Drosophila melanogaster: one gene and its partners. Each later gene encodes a partner of the first gene's protein in a complex. Each region holds a gene or a part of one and is shown in the gene's direction. Other genes may lie near its edges.

Region 1 (3,255 bases):
GTCCAGATAGTCGATGCCCAGTTGCCACATATTGTGGGACGTCATCAGATAGCTGCCGTACTCATAGATCATTGAGTGACGCAGGGCCGGAAGATCGCTGTGGGTGCATAAAATATATAGCATATTGATTGAACATAACTTCTGACAAAAAAACTCACATGTTGTTCTGATCGAAATAGCTCTTCAGCTGACCACAATGATGGATAAGATCAATCAAATGCGTTGAGAACCAGTGTGTGTCGTTAAGTTTTTGAGCATCGTATATAAATAGTCTAAGATCGTGATCCATAAGCTGAGAAACCATGCGGTTCATGCTGCACTGCTCTCTTTCCGGCCGGAGAAGACACCATCGGTTTAGCCATTTGGCTGCCGCTATTTTCAGCTCAAAGGGTTTGCAGGTGGGCTTGGTAAAGAGCAGGTATCCTGGCAGGTATTCATAGAAATCCTGGGACTCTTTGATGCCAGCATCCCACTGCTCGCTGTCGCCGGCGACCAGACGAATCAACTGCTCCAGCTCCGGCTCCGTGGCAAATAAGCCGGACTGAATCTTGCGTTCCGTATCCACGTGCCAGAACTCCCACTGCGAGTGAAACTTCTGCAGGGCATAGCCCTCTTGATACACTGGCATGGACTTCAGGATCTGTTCGGCCGCCTTGAAGCTCGTTTGTCCAGCTTTGCGATTCTGCGAGAGAACTGCTCTCGTAACATCTATTTCGCCCAGCATAATGAGTGATTTGACAATGCTCCAATAGTCATCAGATTCGCTGGCCTCCTCTCCCATGAGCAGTAGATCCGTGGCTCTGTCCTCTGCGTGCGGCGAGTGGAAACGCGCCCAGTCGAGCAGCTGCGGCACCACCAGCTGATTGCTCTGAATGTACAGAATCTCGAAGAGATGCCACAGGCATTCTGCCGCATAGAACACAACGATGGCATCACATAAGCGTTGCAGGCGCGCCTCATCTGTCTGAACCTCCGGCGATTTTTTTGCCTGCTCCAGCTTCTCCAGGCATGAGCGCACAATGCTCCTGTATGCCCGGGATATATTCACATACTCGGCACGTGTGGCCCGCGAACCCAACTGTTGCAGCGTGGCGAACGTGGCATTCGCCTCGGCGAGTACGCTGCGGAGAACGGGTTCGTCGAACAGCGTCGACTCCTGCGCCATGTAGATGAGCACCGGAACCTGTCCAGCATTCTCTGTGGGCTCATCCCGCGAACTGTGCGTCACATGCCGGTAGGCGCTGAGTGCGATTCGTGAGCCCGGCACAAAGACGCCAGTGAGTGTATTGCCACAGCGTGTGGCTAGGTCATCGCCAAGCTCCTAGATAGATTAAACGAGGTTTAATCTATTGAGTTTTTTATTTGTGCAGCTACTTACGAAGGCGAAAACACCGCTGTCGCTCATGTTGGCTTTATGTTTTTCTTCTTTATAAATTCTAAACGATTCGTTGCTTGTTATCGATAAGCAGAGGCGGCATTTGCCTGGCTCTATCGGTCTATCGTACTTCGATAGCAGGTTGTGCATCTACTACTTTTCCCTTTAGTATATTAATCGAATTAAGAGAATGTGAGGGCATTACTTTGGTATTATTACGTGTTGTCGGTAAGGTCCTATTGATTCTGACGCTGGAAATTCGATTCGTGTTTTTTATGATGGATTTGTCGCCAAACAATCAGATCGAGGACAGAAAACCCATCCTAACCGCCGACGGCCTGGTTCAGACTTCGAACTCCCCCTTCGAGCCGACCATATCGCAGGAGACGCAAACATCCAACGGAATCGGCGGCCAGTGCCATCTGACGGTTGACCAGTTGGACATTGAGATTCTGCCGATAATCTACGACATTGTGCGCTGGTGAGTGGTCATCGCGGATGCGGATTCCGGGTGTCATTGCCCCTGCACGGACAATGCCGAAAATCGGCGGATTTTAGCAACAAGTGCGCAATTAATGCCGCACCTTATATAACCTGGCGTCTTTGTGTCTTTCAGCGTGGAAAAGGATCCTCTGGAGAACGCCGTTAAGCTGCGCGAGTCCCAGGATTGCAACCACAAGGTGAGTCCTTGGTTCGTCATAAGTTGCCACCGCTATATACTTGATTTGTAGATCTTTGAACTTCAAAAACGCTTCGAATCGGCACGCGAGCAAATCCGCCAGCTCCCCGGGATCGATTTCAATAAGGAGGAGCAGCAACAGAGACTGGAACTACTGCGAAATCAGCTGAAGCTTAAGCAGCAGCTAATTCGCAAATACAAGGACACAGAGTTCTAGGCGGCAGCAAAATAAAAAAAAGGGCAAGATGGTGCTGCGACTGCTAATGCGCTACCTGGCCAACAACGAGCAGCTCATCCAGCGCATGGCGGAGAGCTATCCCATGAGACGCGCTGCCCAGTTGGTCGTTTCCCTGATGTACCGCACAAAAGACTTGGCCCGGGAGCAGGGACTGCACGAGATGACGCCAGAGCGTTTCAAGTGAGTGAAAGAATCGCCAGAATCATCTGGCTGAATCCGCCAATCTGACATGCATTTTCCAAATTGTAGATCCTTCGTTAACATGTTTAAGAACAACGTGCGCCAAGAGCTGGAGGGAGTGAAGAAGGAGCTTAATAGCAAGAAAAAGAACTAGGGTTCAGTAATTAACTTGTTTAACTACAATTGTATATACGCGGCAAGATAAATTTTAGTAAACACAGATGAATAAACATTGAAGCCAGAACATTATCTTCGGTGAATGAACCTTATTTTTGTAGAATAGGAAATTGCTTTTATTAAGGTAATTAGGAAACAAAGAAATCCTTATTCATTGCCATTTTATCTTAACACTTAAAAACAAAAGAGAACTTCAGATTGTCATTCTGAAACTATCGTTTTACAAAAAAATCAAATAATAACCTAATGTCTGCATTTACAACGCTTTCAACGTAATTTGCGTCAGCAAATTTGTTTTCATTTTCAGTTTGCATAGACATTAAACTCATCTTAAACTATAAGATTTTAATTTAAGATTCCAATTTATAAAGTCGTGTCTATTTAAGTTTATCGAGAGATAATTTAATATCATGTACACAAGTAGCATCTGGTTCAACCTGCGTTTATTCAGTGAAAAGACAAATGAAATCCATGCTGCAGTGACGTCGGTTGTCTTAAGTCTAGTGAACAAACAAAATATAGAATTTGGTTTGGCATATAGCACAATGTACAGTGGACAAGAACGGGACACGAAATAGTTTATTGGGGCACATGCCACTTTAGATT
Region 2 (7,555 bases), 4.7 Mb from region 1:
CACCAGCAGAGTCCATACTCGCGACCTTACGAACCACCAGTTGCCGTTCAACAGCGACCCGTGGAGCAGGCACAAAGTGAACCCGCTGGAAGGAAGAACCAATACGGCGACTCCTGGACTGATTAAGGTATTGTTATTTTGTTGGACATTAAACGCGCATAAAGTTCTGTGAAAATTCGTTGTCTATTTACATTTTTTTTTGGGGTTGGAATATTCAATTACTTTCTAGCCTGGTCGTAGTTTTCTATGTACCACTTAACCGAGGCGTTGATTGCCGTTTCCAAGTCCGTAAATGCGTAGTCTGGCAGGAAGGAGCGAAGCTTGGCATTAGACGCAGTCTTTTTGTACTGTCCATCCGACTTGCTCGTATCACAGACCAGTCTTCCCTGGAATAAATCAAGTTAATATCTTGCCTTGTCTCAAATTTCGCTTTTTAACCCACATTAAAATTAAATGCTTTTGCAACGGCTTGGGCCACCTCGAAGATCGTCACCTCCTGCACTTCGTCCGCGCTTAGGATGATGGGCTCCACACTTTCGTAGTTCCTGAGCACCCAGATCATCAGCTCCGCCAGGTCCCGGGAGTATACAAACTGCCGTAGTGGCATGCCGCTTCCGAAAACGGTGAACACCTTGTCGTTTTCGGGGACGTCAGTCTTCTCCGTAACCAGCTGGTGCATCCTATAGATCATGCCCGGAATAACGTGGCTGACCTCTGGATTATAGTTGTCGTGGGGACCGAATATGTTGCACGGAATGACCGAGGTGTACACCCGGCCATATTTATCGTGGTAGGCGTGGTTCTGCACGTCTATCAGTCGCTTTGCGTAGGAGTAACCATAATTGGAGGGGTGCGGCGGCCCATTGTGCACCATGGTCTCATCTATGGGGTAGCTGGTTTTGTCCGGAAAAATGCATGTGGACAGGCAGGACACCACCTTCACGCATCCCTGCTCGTGTGCCGTTTGCAGGACATTGTCGTTAATGAGCAGGTTGTTGCGCTAAAAGTGGATTCGCATGAAATGGGTTTTGGAATCATCTGTGAGACCAGGAGCTCACCAAGAAGTCCAGGTTGTTGTTCATGTTGTGGAACAGGCCTCCGACCATTGCAGCCAGATGGATGACATGCGTGGGCTTCTCTCGGGCGAAGAGTGCCTGCGTGGCGGCCAGATTTCTGTGGAGAGAATTTGTTTACGGATACGTTCAATTGAATTTCTTCATGACTTACGTCAAATCTGCATCTTTAGAGCCCGCAAAAAACCATTGCTCGTCCTCTGGGGACTGCTCCTTGATCACAGCCTCCAGGGCCTTGCCCACCAGCCCAGTTCCGCCTGTAACCAGAACTTTCTTCATGATTTTTGTGCGATTCCACAAATCAAGTCAATTAGTTTCTAAAGTAATTTTCGACTCAATGCGACCAGCTGCTTTAAATGCCGGCTAATCAGTCAGTGCTGCCTGCCTGGCGTTTTTAATCTAATCCTTTAGCTATTTCTTGTTATCAGAAAAAGCCACTTTTAGATTCTTTACTAAGCCCCATTTGGTCACACTGTGCCCAGGTAGTTTTTGTTTATGCGGTGTCGGATATGCGAAAAATAATTTAAATGGATATGGAAACGCAAGTTATAGACACCGTTAACGAGTTTCTGGTAATAGTGAAACCCTGCGTCTCCAAAAAATCACCCACTCATCCACGCTCTCCATTTCGCAGAAGGTCGACTCCCTTGACGAGGCGTTCGTTAGCGTCATTGTATTCAAGCCAAACACCGAGCAAGAACGAGCTACCCGCTTCGCCAATGATTTGGGTAGGTAAATGCGTCTGCTGGAACTCGAAAATTGTTAAAAACTATCTGTTTCAGTTACCGCCTTTGGGAACGTGGCGCAGGAGAACCGGGAGCAGGTGCTTCGGCTCTACCTGTTGCGTGCCGCCGGTGCCTCCGGATATCACATCAAAGTGCTGATGGCGGCACTGGTGAAGCTGGTGGACGCACACGTGATCACCGCCAGGATGCTGTGCGACAAGGTGCTGATGTGCGAGAAACTGGACTTCGAGCACAGGACCTTCTGGATCGAGAGCTTCCGGCTGATCAAGCGTGTGATCGTCCAGGTGGACTACAAGGGTGTGCGCGAGATCATGAAGGTATGCCGCGACAAGGCACAATGGTTTCCGCTGAACGTCAACGTTACCTACATGCCACAGCTACTGGCCGTTGAGGATATCCTGCGATTCATCTTTGATCGCAACAATTGCCTGCTGCCCGCCTACTTTATTGCCAACGAGATTATGCGTCCGTTTCCTTACCACTGGAAACTCAACCGGCTGATGACCGACTTTGTCGAAGAGTTCCGCACCACGGCACAAATGGTTTCGATCATTGGACATGCCAGCATGCTTCCCATCGTAGAGCATTTCGGCTATGCCGATCACATGATGAACTCCTGGCGACTGGACCACAATACCCTGAAGTTTAACTTTAAGGGTAGCCTGCCCTACGAGCCAGAGCTGCTCGAAGAGCAGAAGCCCCTACTCCGCTACGTTTTGGAGCAGCCGTACTCAAGGGAAATGGTCTCTCAAATGCTGAACCTGCAAAAGCATCAGAAGCAGCGCTACAATGCCCTGGAAGAGCAGTTGGTTAATCTCATAGTGCAGGCCATGGAGATGACGGAGGCGAATGATGCCACTGCGGGAAGTGGCTTTAACTCCTCAGACGAGCAGATCACGCCCTACGAGTGGATGTGGCTGCATCTCTCTTCGCAACTAATTTACTTTGTGCTCTTTCAGTTCGTAAGCTTTATGCACATAGTGTTGGCGCTCCACGAAAAGGTAGGTCCATGGTGGATGAAATTAATATTTCTTGTAATTAACTACTTTTCACCTATAGCTTTCCAAGTTGGAGCTTCGCAAGGGTCGCGATCAACTTATGTGGATTCTGTTGCAGTTTATATCCGGAAGCATACAGAAAAATCCTGTAAGATCCTGTTCTCCACCTGATTGATCTTATTTTTAATCGCTTTTAATTTTAGATCACCAATTTCCTGCCTGTGTTCAGATTGTTTGACCTACTATATCCCGAGCTAGAGCCTCTTAAGCTGCCAGATATCAATAAATCCTCGATGGTTCGCCATATGGCACCCATTTGCGTTTGGATTCACCTGATGAAGAAGGCACGAGTGGAAAACATGAACATCACCAGACCATTGCCAATTGCACTGAAAAACCACTACGAGTAATACCTCTAACTTCCTTTGGTGTTTAGATACTAACTGCTTAATTCCCAGCTTTCTGCAGCACCTAGTCACGGCTAACACCATGATGAACATGACGCTAGGAAACGACTTCCGCATAATTCTCATCTGCAATGCATACTCAACGAATCAGGAGTACTTCGGGCGTCCCATGGGTCTACTGCTGGATGCCCTAAATGGCACTTCAAAATCTCCAAACGGTGGCCAAATCCCAGCCGTAACTTTTTCGGTCACGGTTCTGGACAGCTTGACGGTGCACAGTAAGATGTCGTTAATCCACAGCTTCGTAACTCAGATGTTAAAACAGGCCCAAAGCAAGGGTCAAGTTCCAGCGGCTGCACTACTGGAAACTTATGCCAGACTTCTGGTTTATACAGAAATCGAGTCGCTCGGTATAAAGGGATTCCTGAGTAAGTACAGCCTGTTGAAGTGATTAAACAATATGTTTATGGTTTTTTTTCCTCCTAAAGGCCAACTGATGCCAACAGTGTTTAAGAACCATGCGTGGGCCATGCTGCACACCTTAATGGAGATGTTTTCGTACCGGCTGCACCATGTTCCTACTCACTACCGGGTCCAATTGCTGTCTCTCCTTCATTCTCTGTCCTCCGTGCCGCAGACAAACAAGATGCAGCTCAATCTCTGGTTAGTTATACGTTTATCGAGTATAGACTTCTTTCTAAGTTCTTCCCTTTGTATAGTTTTGAATCTACTGCACTGCGTCTGATCACCAGCATTGGATCCGCCGAGTTTCAGCCGCAGTTTTCGCGTTACTTTAACGACAAATCTCCCGGAGCAGTGGCGTCTAATGAGAGCGAAGAGCTAAACAGAGTACTTATTCTTACGCTAGCTCGATCCATGCACGTACATGGTGGCGGCGATGAAATGCAGGGATGGTGCAAGGACTTCCTTTCCAACATCATTCAGCACACGCCGCACTCGTGGCCCATGCATTCCCTAGCCTGCTTTCCGCCCGCCTTAAACGAGTACTTTACGCAGAACAACCAACCTCCGGAGAACAAGCAGCAGTTGAAGAAGGCCGTGGAAGAGGAATATCGAACCTGGACGTCGATGACCAACGAGAATGACATAATTGCGCACTTCTTGCGTCCAACTACGAATCCTTTATTCCTTTGCCTTCTGTTCAAAATAATTTGGGAGACGGAGAACATAAGCCCAGTGGCTTACAAGTGCGTAACATTATGATTTAAACACAATCATTTTTTCTGACCATACCTTTTTTTTTAGAATTTTGGAGGGTATAAGCGCGAGAGCCTTGTCCACTCATCTGCGTAAATTTTGTGACTACTTGGTGGCTGAGGTAGCTAGCTCATCGGATGGCCGCGACTTTATTCACAAGTGCGTCGACACCATTAACAACATGATTTGGAAGTTCAACGTTGTGACCATCGATAGGGTTGTGCTTTGCCTGGCTCTGCGAACGCACGAGGGTAACGAGGCTCAAGTCTGCTTTCTCATAATTCAGCTGCTCTTGCTGAAAGCCAGCGAGCTGAGAAATCGTGTTCAGGAGTTCTGCAAGGACAATAATCCTGATCACTGGAAGCAGAGCAACTGGTAAGTTGGACACTTGATTTTGTTAAGAGCACAAAGGCATAGTTGTTATTATTTCTCAGGCAGGACAAACACTTGTCATTCCATCAAAAGTATCCAGAGAAGTTCGCGTTGGACGAGTCAGCTTCACAGATTCCGCTGCCCGTGTACTTCAGCAATGTCTGTCTGCGATTCCTTCCCGTTCTGGATGTGGTAGTGCACAGATTTATCGAACTTACCATTACAAATGTCCACCAGATATTGGGCTTCATTTTGGATCATCTGAGCATACTCTACAAGTTTCACGGTATGTTAAAAGTGGCTTTCGAGAATTTCATAACTTTAAATTACCCTTTAAATTGCAGATCGACCTATAACATATCTGTACAACACCCTCCATTATTATGAGCGAATCTTACGAGACCGCCCTGCGCTAAAGAAGAAACTTGTAAGATTTGTTATGAATATTATATTCCCTTCTTCTAATACACTGTGTTGTTCCAGGTTGGCGCTATCACCAGCGCCTTTAGCGAGATTCGGCCGCCCAACTGGAGTGTTAGTGAGCCGTACAAGGTGTATTTGCAAAGCCAAGACTCGCTGTGGACCCCCGAATTGAGCTACTATATGAGTTTGATCAGGAGACTTGCAGACAGTAAGCTAGGATTTGGGAAAATACTATGATGTGTTCATATATTCATGCGTAACCCCTTTTATTTTGCAGCAATTAGTGGGAAGAATGTATTTTACTCCACCGATTGGCGTTTTAACGAGTTCCCGAATGCGCCAACCCATGCGCTCTATGTGACATGCGTGGAGCTGCTGGGTCTGCCGGTGGCACCGCCACTGGTGGCCAGCAATCTCATCGATGTTATAGTAAGCGGATATGCGGTTATTCCGCAAAAGGACATTCACAGCTACATTAATGCTGTGGGCATTGTTCTGGCTGCCTTGCCTGAGCCCTACTGGAGCGGCATATACGATCGCCTACAGGATATGCTCAACACACCCAATATGCTGAACTGGACCTACAGATTCAATGCTTTCGAGTTGTTTAACTTCAAGACAGTGCGTGAGGCGATGCTAGAAAAGACCTACGCCGTGGTGTTGGCAGTAGCTCACTCAGTGTTCCATCACATGGGCGCCTTTAAGCTGGCGGCAATGACCAGGTACCTCAAGGAGAAGCTAAAGCCGTGCGTGCGAACCGAACAACAATTGCTGTATTTGTGCCACGTTTTTGGCCCCTTCCTGCAACGAATAGAGTTGGAAAAACCGAACGCTGTGGCTGGCATAGCCGTGTTGCTTTACGAAATTCTTGAGATCGTGGACAAGCATCATGGTCCGAAGCCTCTGCAGTACATGGACCAGATCTGCGATTTCCTGTAAGCAAATCCACAAAATCGCATGAAAGGGTACTAAACAAATGTGTTTGTATCATTTCAGCTATCACATTAAGTATATACATGTGGGTAATATCATTAAGAACGAATCGGAAGCCATCATTAAGCGGCTACGGCCCCTGCTGCAAATGCGCCTGAGGTTCATAACCCACCTTAACTTGGAGGATATTCACACTGAAAAGATGTAAGGGCCATTTAATTCAAACTCTACTTCGGTTTAAACATAACTTTTCCAATTTCAGCAACGACAATACCAGCAATAATGCAATAACCAGCCAAACGCAGTCTCCAATGCAAACACAGCATCAGCAGCAGCCGCAGCAACCACATCAGCAACAACAGCAGCAACAACAACAGCAACAGCAGCAGCAGCAGCAGCAACAGCAGCAACAACAGATGCAGCAGCAACAAATCAACGCAGTACAAACAACCAGCGTTCCCTTGGGCAGCGGTGGCAACCTACAGCAGCAGCAGCAAATCAACCAGCAGCAACAAATGTATATGCAGCACATGCAGCAGCATCAGCACATGCAAAACATGCGCCACAATTAGACTTTGTGGGACTCCCAAGTCAGTTCAAGCTGACATAACGACATAAGCCTAATTTATAGTAGTATTATCTTATATTTTATCGCTTATTGCATTATTCATTTTCCATTGAATGTGTAAACAGTTCTCAGATATGTTTAAGTTAGATACTAAGGGAACTTTTTGTAAGTCACAGCTGTCGGCCCAAGTCCTCCCTCCAGCTTTACAATCAAAAGCTTGACTTAATAAGCCCAGCTTAAAGCTCTTCGTAGATAACCTGTAGTTGGTGATCTTGTCCACCTCGAGCGCCGTTCTCAGTTGTGATCGCAGAGCACTGCGATGTATGCGCTTCCGGGAATCCAGATTCTGTTGCTGATTGCTTCAGTCAGCGTGGTGACCGAGTACTGCGACAATGGAACGGGCGAGTGCAAGGAGCTGACGCCCTCCGACTGTCCAGTGATATTCTACAACCAGCACCTGATCGGAGCCGAAGTCAAGTACTGCGACGAGTTCAACGACATTGTCTGCTGTCCCATACCGCTGGATCACCAGAATCTGAAGCCAGCCGAACAGACGAGGCCTTTTGAGAAGCGTGAGGAGTGACTGCAACAATTCCCTTCGATTGATGGAATTTGAATATTCGTTTTTTTTTTTTAGAGTGCAAGCAATACAACGAGGTCAGATCCGCCTGCCAGTCCACGCCCTTCATCGTGGGCGGCACAAAGGCATCCGGTAAAGAGTTTCCCTTCATGGCCCTAATCGGCACTCATCGGCCCAACAAGTCCAAGTCGGACATCAATTGGGATTGTGGTGGATCCGTGGTGCATCCCAAATTCG
Region 3 (4,712 bases), on another chromosome or scaffold:
AAACCCCATGAAATGCGCGCTCCAAGTTAACAATGGAGTTTGGAACAAACTAAAGGAAATGCAGGAATACCTAAAGAGCGTTAAATATCACGGGAATAAAATATATTGTGTTGATGGCTTGATCCAAACTACTGAAGCTATATTTGGACTCGTCGAAGATCTCTTTAAGGATCACACAGACCACTTTTTCTTTTTAACTAGTAGAGTTAACCAGGATCCCCTTGAAAATATATTTGCGTGCGTTCGAGCAAAAGGTGGTAACTGCAGAAATCCTTCAGTTAACGAATTTAATATAATAATTGCCAAGCTCATATCTCTACACATTTTTAAATTTTCACAAAAGTCGAATTGCGAATCAGATGATGATGTTATGTTGCCAATAGAGTTCGATTCGATAATATATCAGCCTTTCGTTGAAAAAAAAGAAATACAGCAACAAGAATACTCTGTATCATTTTCCAAAATCGTGCAAGACAATGAGAGGTACTTTGACCAAAATATAGATAACTTTTTGTGCAATGATGTACCCATTGAATTAACTTCCAGTAGATATTTTGTTGGATATATTGCTAAGGGATCCAGTTGCGATAAATGCAGATCGGTAATTTTAAAAGAAACCGAGCATTTAACAGCTCCATCAGAGCTTTTTATACATGAGAAAAACTACTCAATAGAATCGGACTTCGGGAAATTAAGGGCACCATCTGATTTATTTTTTAATATTTACAAAATACACATTAAAGCTTTCGAAAATATTTTTAAAAATAATAAAAAACAAATGTGTATAAAAAAATTTATTGTTGAGCAATGCATTAAGTGCACAAATGAAAGTAGTGCCTTCCCATTATGGTTTTATGAAAATAATGAATGTTATGCACATAGAACAGATCTTTTAAACAAACTTATAAAAGTTTTGCTTTTTAAGCATTGTAAGTGGACTGTGATAGCTGATAGACAAAAAAAGCAAGCTAAGCTCAGCATTCTATCTCATGAATAAAAAAAATGAGCGTTATTTAAATAACTGACGACTGAAAAATCGAGCAATATATAATAAAAAACAATAGTTAGAAAAATAACTTAATTGGGGAATATGGAAATGTTTTAATGTTAAACATTAAAATATTTCAAGTCGACTCGAAGGTCATATACGTAAATATAAGACCCCATTACAATTGTAATGGCCTCCCCGTAGTGTTCCCTGGGTACCGACTATTACACATATTACACATAAATAATTATCAACATAAATATAAATATGTAAACGGTAGCTAATTCGAGCGGCGATTTTAACAAACGAATTTAAAAAGCTTTAAAATTAAAAAATTTTAAAATTAAAATTAAAATTTTAAAATTATAATAAGAAGGGCGCGAATTTTTAAAAATTATTTTATTTCATCATATTGCTACGAAATTGGCAAAAAACTACCCTAATATGTACAATGTAAATTCATTTCTTTGATCAGAATTGATTTCGGCCCGAAAATCGTCTTCTAGCACAACACCCACACATATACGCGTTCCCGTCTCTTGTTTTTACTCACACAAGCAAGCAAATTCTATTTTTAGATTTCTTATGTTCTCAGCGTGAGCGAGCGGAAAGAGAGCAATTTTGGCCGTCACCAAAAAAGTGGCTGCATAGTGCCAAACCAATGTATGGCCGTTACGCATCTTGTTATTCTAGTGTCTTTGGTATGGCCGTTACGCATCTTGTTATTTATATGGCTTTGAATAGACCATGTGCAGTGTGATTAATGTGGGGGTATGTATTAAAAACGACATATAATATAAGTATATTTATGTATGTGCAAAAGGAATATATCAGGATATTTCGGTAAGAGCGACAAACCAGCCAAGTGTGAATTTATGAAGTTGATGCATCTATATTTTTGCAAATCTCAAGTTTATATGCAGAAGAGTCACTGTCGTTATATTTGAATTTTGCTCACTAGCGGAGATGATTAAATTTTTTATTATTGTACTGAAATACAAAAATGTTTTTTAAACTTAATTAGCATTTTAAGTAATAATAGTTTTTCTCCGGTATTCTAACGTTACCAGTGTGAACGGATCGGACAAGCATTCTTCCTAATTTAGTACTACTAACCGTTTATATTCCAATTACACTATATATATGGACACAGTCAGTTTTGGTTTTTGTCAAACACGGAAACACAGTATAAGCATGGGGTAGCTCAGTTCTTAGACGGGAAGGTCAATAAAATCTCTTCTGCTCGAGGTTCAGAATAAGAATAATATTATAGAACATATTAAAAAAAAAGCCGCTGTGGTAAAATGTGAATATAAAAAATTAAACATATTCTTTTTCTGTTGCTTATTAAATGTAAAATATATTCTTATATACAAAAGGCTTCCAAAGGTTTTGCAATAAGAAAAAAATATATACTCGATTTTGGTGCTGAAGGATAGTACTATAGTTTACTTTTTTTCAATTGTGAGATGATCCCTTAACCCAAGTTATGGGGTTTGGTAATTGTAAGCCATTTGTTTGTTTTTTGTTTTTGAAGAACACCGAGAGCATTTGTTTTGTACAAATCCTATATATACACACTTTTTTCAAATATTTCGCATTGAAATGAAAGAGTTTAAGAATCTTTATATATCCTTAACAAAAAAAAAACGGCATTGCTAGTCCGAATAAAATAAGTTAAGGGTAAAAAAACAAACAATATTTTAATATTCTCCATATTAAGTAAAGCGGGTAACTGGACGGAGAATCTACGAAATCGTTTTATATTTTACAAAATATATAGGACAACGGGAAAATATCCAAACCACAAAGCAACAAAACCTTCATTTTCTGGTCTGGTATATTTGACCCTTTTTTCATTTTGAGATTCACGCATTTAGCCCAAAAATGGACGTTTACTTTATATAATACTCCTATAGGTTTTCATGTCACATATAATACAATTCCTCTTCAATTCTGTTTGATAGCAGTATGATCAGGCCTTCCTGTTAAAAGAAATTCACGTGAAAGTATATCGATAATAATTGTTAAATACTTATCGATTTTCTGCCACCCTTGAAGTGCAGCTGTCATTGGTAAAAATGGCGAATTGTAATAAAGTCGGGAAGTCAACCATAAATTATTAATTTTCCTTATTTTGGACAAATACAAATTTTCATATTCAAGGAAGTGCGCTCAGGAAGCACAGACTTTACATTCGAAGTGTGCATATTTGTAAGCATAACGATTGAGCAATACACGTTTTGTATTGGTATGAGTGTTTCACAGACACGCTACTAACTCGGGTATTAAAATTTTTGAACTTCTGGGTCTTTAAACTTTACTTAATAGCAATTTTACGGCTATTTATAATAGTATTTATTTTGCAACAACGTGAAGTGAATACACTATAACTTTTTACTTTCTACCTACTACTTACTTTTCTATTACTTTCCTTATTTTTCTAACTTGGACAGTATTTGCATTTCGCCGTCCCTTGAATCTGGATCAGGGCAATATTTACGCACCGCAAGATATAAATGAACCAAATCGAAATACAGGAACTTACTACTCACCTATCCCAGGCACTTGATCAAAACTACGATGTAAGAAAACGTATTACCTTATCAACAAATCAGTTAATGTAAAGATCTTTTCAGGTCGTCAATATGGACGCAGTTCTCTGTGTCATATGTGCATTGGAGGGTACAACTATCACCAAGGAGCAGTTGGAGGCCACCAGATTGGCTAAGTACATAAATCAGCTCAGAAGAAGGACTAAGAATGAACATTTGGCTCGACGTGCAAAATCCTTGCTGAAAAAGTGGCGGGAAATGGTAGGAATTCAGCAAACAGCCACTGAAAATTTGGCACATCCCAGTCAAATTTCATCTTCACAACCAGCATTAGATTTGGTTAAGTCCCCTATCACCAGCTTTATTACAGAACCAATTGCTCCTTCGCAGCAAATAGTTTCAGATTTGCATTCAAATATCGACTCTGCGGAGCCTCCGCTTTCGGGTGAACATACCCTACTTCATCCGAACTTCTCCAACCTTGTAAATAGTATAAAAGATAGCGATCGCCACGAAAACATCGCTATAACGACATTGCATACTCACAAGGATCGGCGACATTCGCATTCCATCCGAAGTTGCCACGTGGCCTCTCCTCAGCCCATCGTCATAGATCATTCGGTAAATTCCGTGATTAACTTGACCGATGACAGCACCGTGAAGATAAACGAAGCTTCAGTTGTTATTGACATAGCTTCGGATTCCGATGAGAATGACAATAACGGTTCGTTAAATCCAAAAAAATTAAACTCAATTGTTCCTGCGCCACTTCCAATACCATCTACACCAAGCTCACGGCAACGCAAATTAAAAAAGGAAAAAAGAAGTAAGGAAAGAGAAGGACAGGTCGCAACAAATACAAGATTTGGTGCAAAAGCCAGCGACGGGTTTCAACAGGCCGCTCTGACAACAGATTCGGGTATGATTCAATTGTATTTGTCTTTGTGTCTATCCTTGCAGAAGCTCAAAGAAGCTGGGTTCGGAAAAATGGAATTTTCGAAATTTGAAAGCTGGAATCGTGTGCCCACCAATTAGTTTTTTTTTGTCCACGTCCAGTCTTTGAGATCTGAATTTTCAAAAAAGTTCGATAATCAAAAAGTGTACTTTTTCAAAAATTTTATATTTTAAATTGCAATAACATCGTTTGCCAACACTTTTGAATTTTGAAA

Evidence for each region.
Region 2: MED9 (region 1) and MED23 share a complex: the UniProt entries of both Drosophila melanogaster proteins name them as parts of the mediator complex.
Region 3: MED9 (region 1) and MED26 share a complex: the UniProt entries of both Drosophila melanogaster proteins name them as parts of the mediator complex.

What each region holds. Positions count from the first base shown.
Region 1 is NT_033778.4:18,165,667-18,168,921, forward strand, and holds MED9 (mediator complex subunit 9), read left to right. Parts: upstream 1-1,588; 5' UTR 1,589-1,650; coding exon 1,651-1,856; intron 1,857-1,991; coding exon 1,992-2,055; intron 2,056-2,106; coding exon 2,107-2,271; 3' UTR 2,272-2,299; coding exon of another isoform or gene 2,300-2,472; intron 2,473-2,541; coding exon of another isoform or gene 2,542-2,626; 3' UTR 2,627-2,714; downstream 2,715-3,255. Other genes in the region: Nup75 (nucleoporin 75kD), read right to left, coding at 1-97, 159-1,321, 1,379-1,405; CG42518 (uncharacterized protein), read left to right, coding at 2,300-2,472, 2,542-2,626. UniProt on the Drosophila melanogaster protein: Component of the Mediator complex, a coactivator involved in the regulated transcription of nearly all RNA polymerase II-dependent genes.
Region 2 is NT_033778.4:22,887,408-22,894,962, forward strand, and holds MED23 (mediator complex subunit 23), read left to right. Parts: upstream 1-1,520; 5' UTR 1,521-1,606; coding exon 1,607-1,645; intron 1,646-1,707; coding exon 1,708-1,801; intron 1,802-1,855; coding exon 1,856-2,820; intron 2,821-2,878; coding exon 2,879-2,965; intron 2,966-3,020; coding exon 3,021-3,223; intron 3,224-3,275; coding exon 3,276-3,652; intron 3,653-3,712; coding exon 3,713-3,887; intron 3,888-3,943; coding exon 3,944-4,432; intron 4,433-4,490; coding exon 4,491-4,817; intron 4,818-4,876; coding exon 4,877-5,100; intron 5,101-5,158; coding exon 5,159-5,241; intron 5,242-5,297; coding exon 5,298-5,445; intron 5,446-5,514; coding exon 5,515-6,172; intron 6,173-6,233; coding exon 6,234-6,374; intron 6,375-6,432; coding exon 6,433-6,742; 3' UTR 6,743-7,018; downstream 7,019-7,555. Other genes in the region: asrij, read left to right, coding at 1-126; Gmer (GDP-4-keto-6-deoxy-D-mannose 3,5-epimerase/4-reductase), read right to left, coding at 219-386, 443-1,000, 1,059-1,173, 1,228-1,352; CG3700 (uncharacterized protein), read left to right, coding at 7,058-7,310, 7,376-7,555. UniProt on the Drosophila melanogaster protein: Component of the Mediator complex, a coactivator involved in the regulated transcription of nearly all RNA polymerase II-dependent genes.
Region 3 is NC_004353.4:785,942-790,653, reverse strand, and holds the start of MED26 (mediator complex subunit 26), read left to right. Parts: upstream 1-1,675; 5' UTR 1,676-1,759; intron 1,760-3,039; exon of another isoform or gene 3,040-3,202; intron 3,203-3,444; 5' UTR 3,445-3,507; coding exon 3,508-3,573; intron 3,574-3,627; coding exon 3,628-4,462; intron 4,463-4,712. UniProt on the Drosophila melanogaster protein: Component of the Mediator complex, a coactivator involved in the regulated transcription of nearly all RNA polymerase II-dependent genes.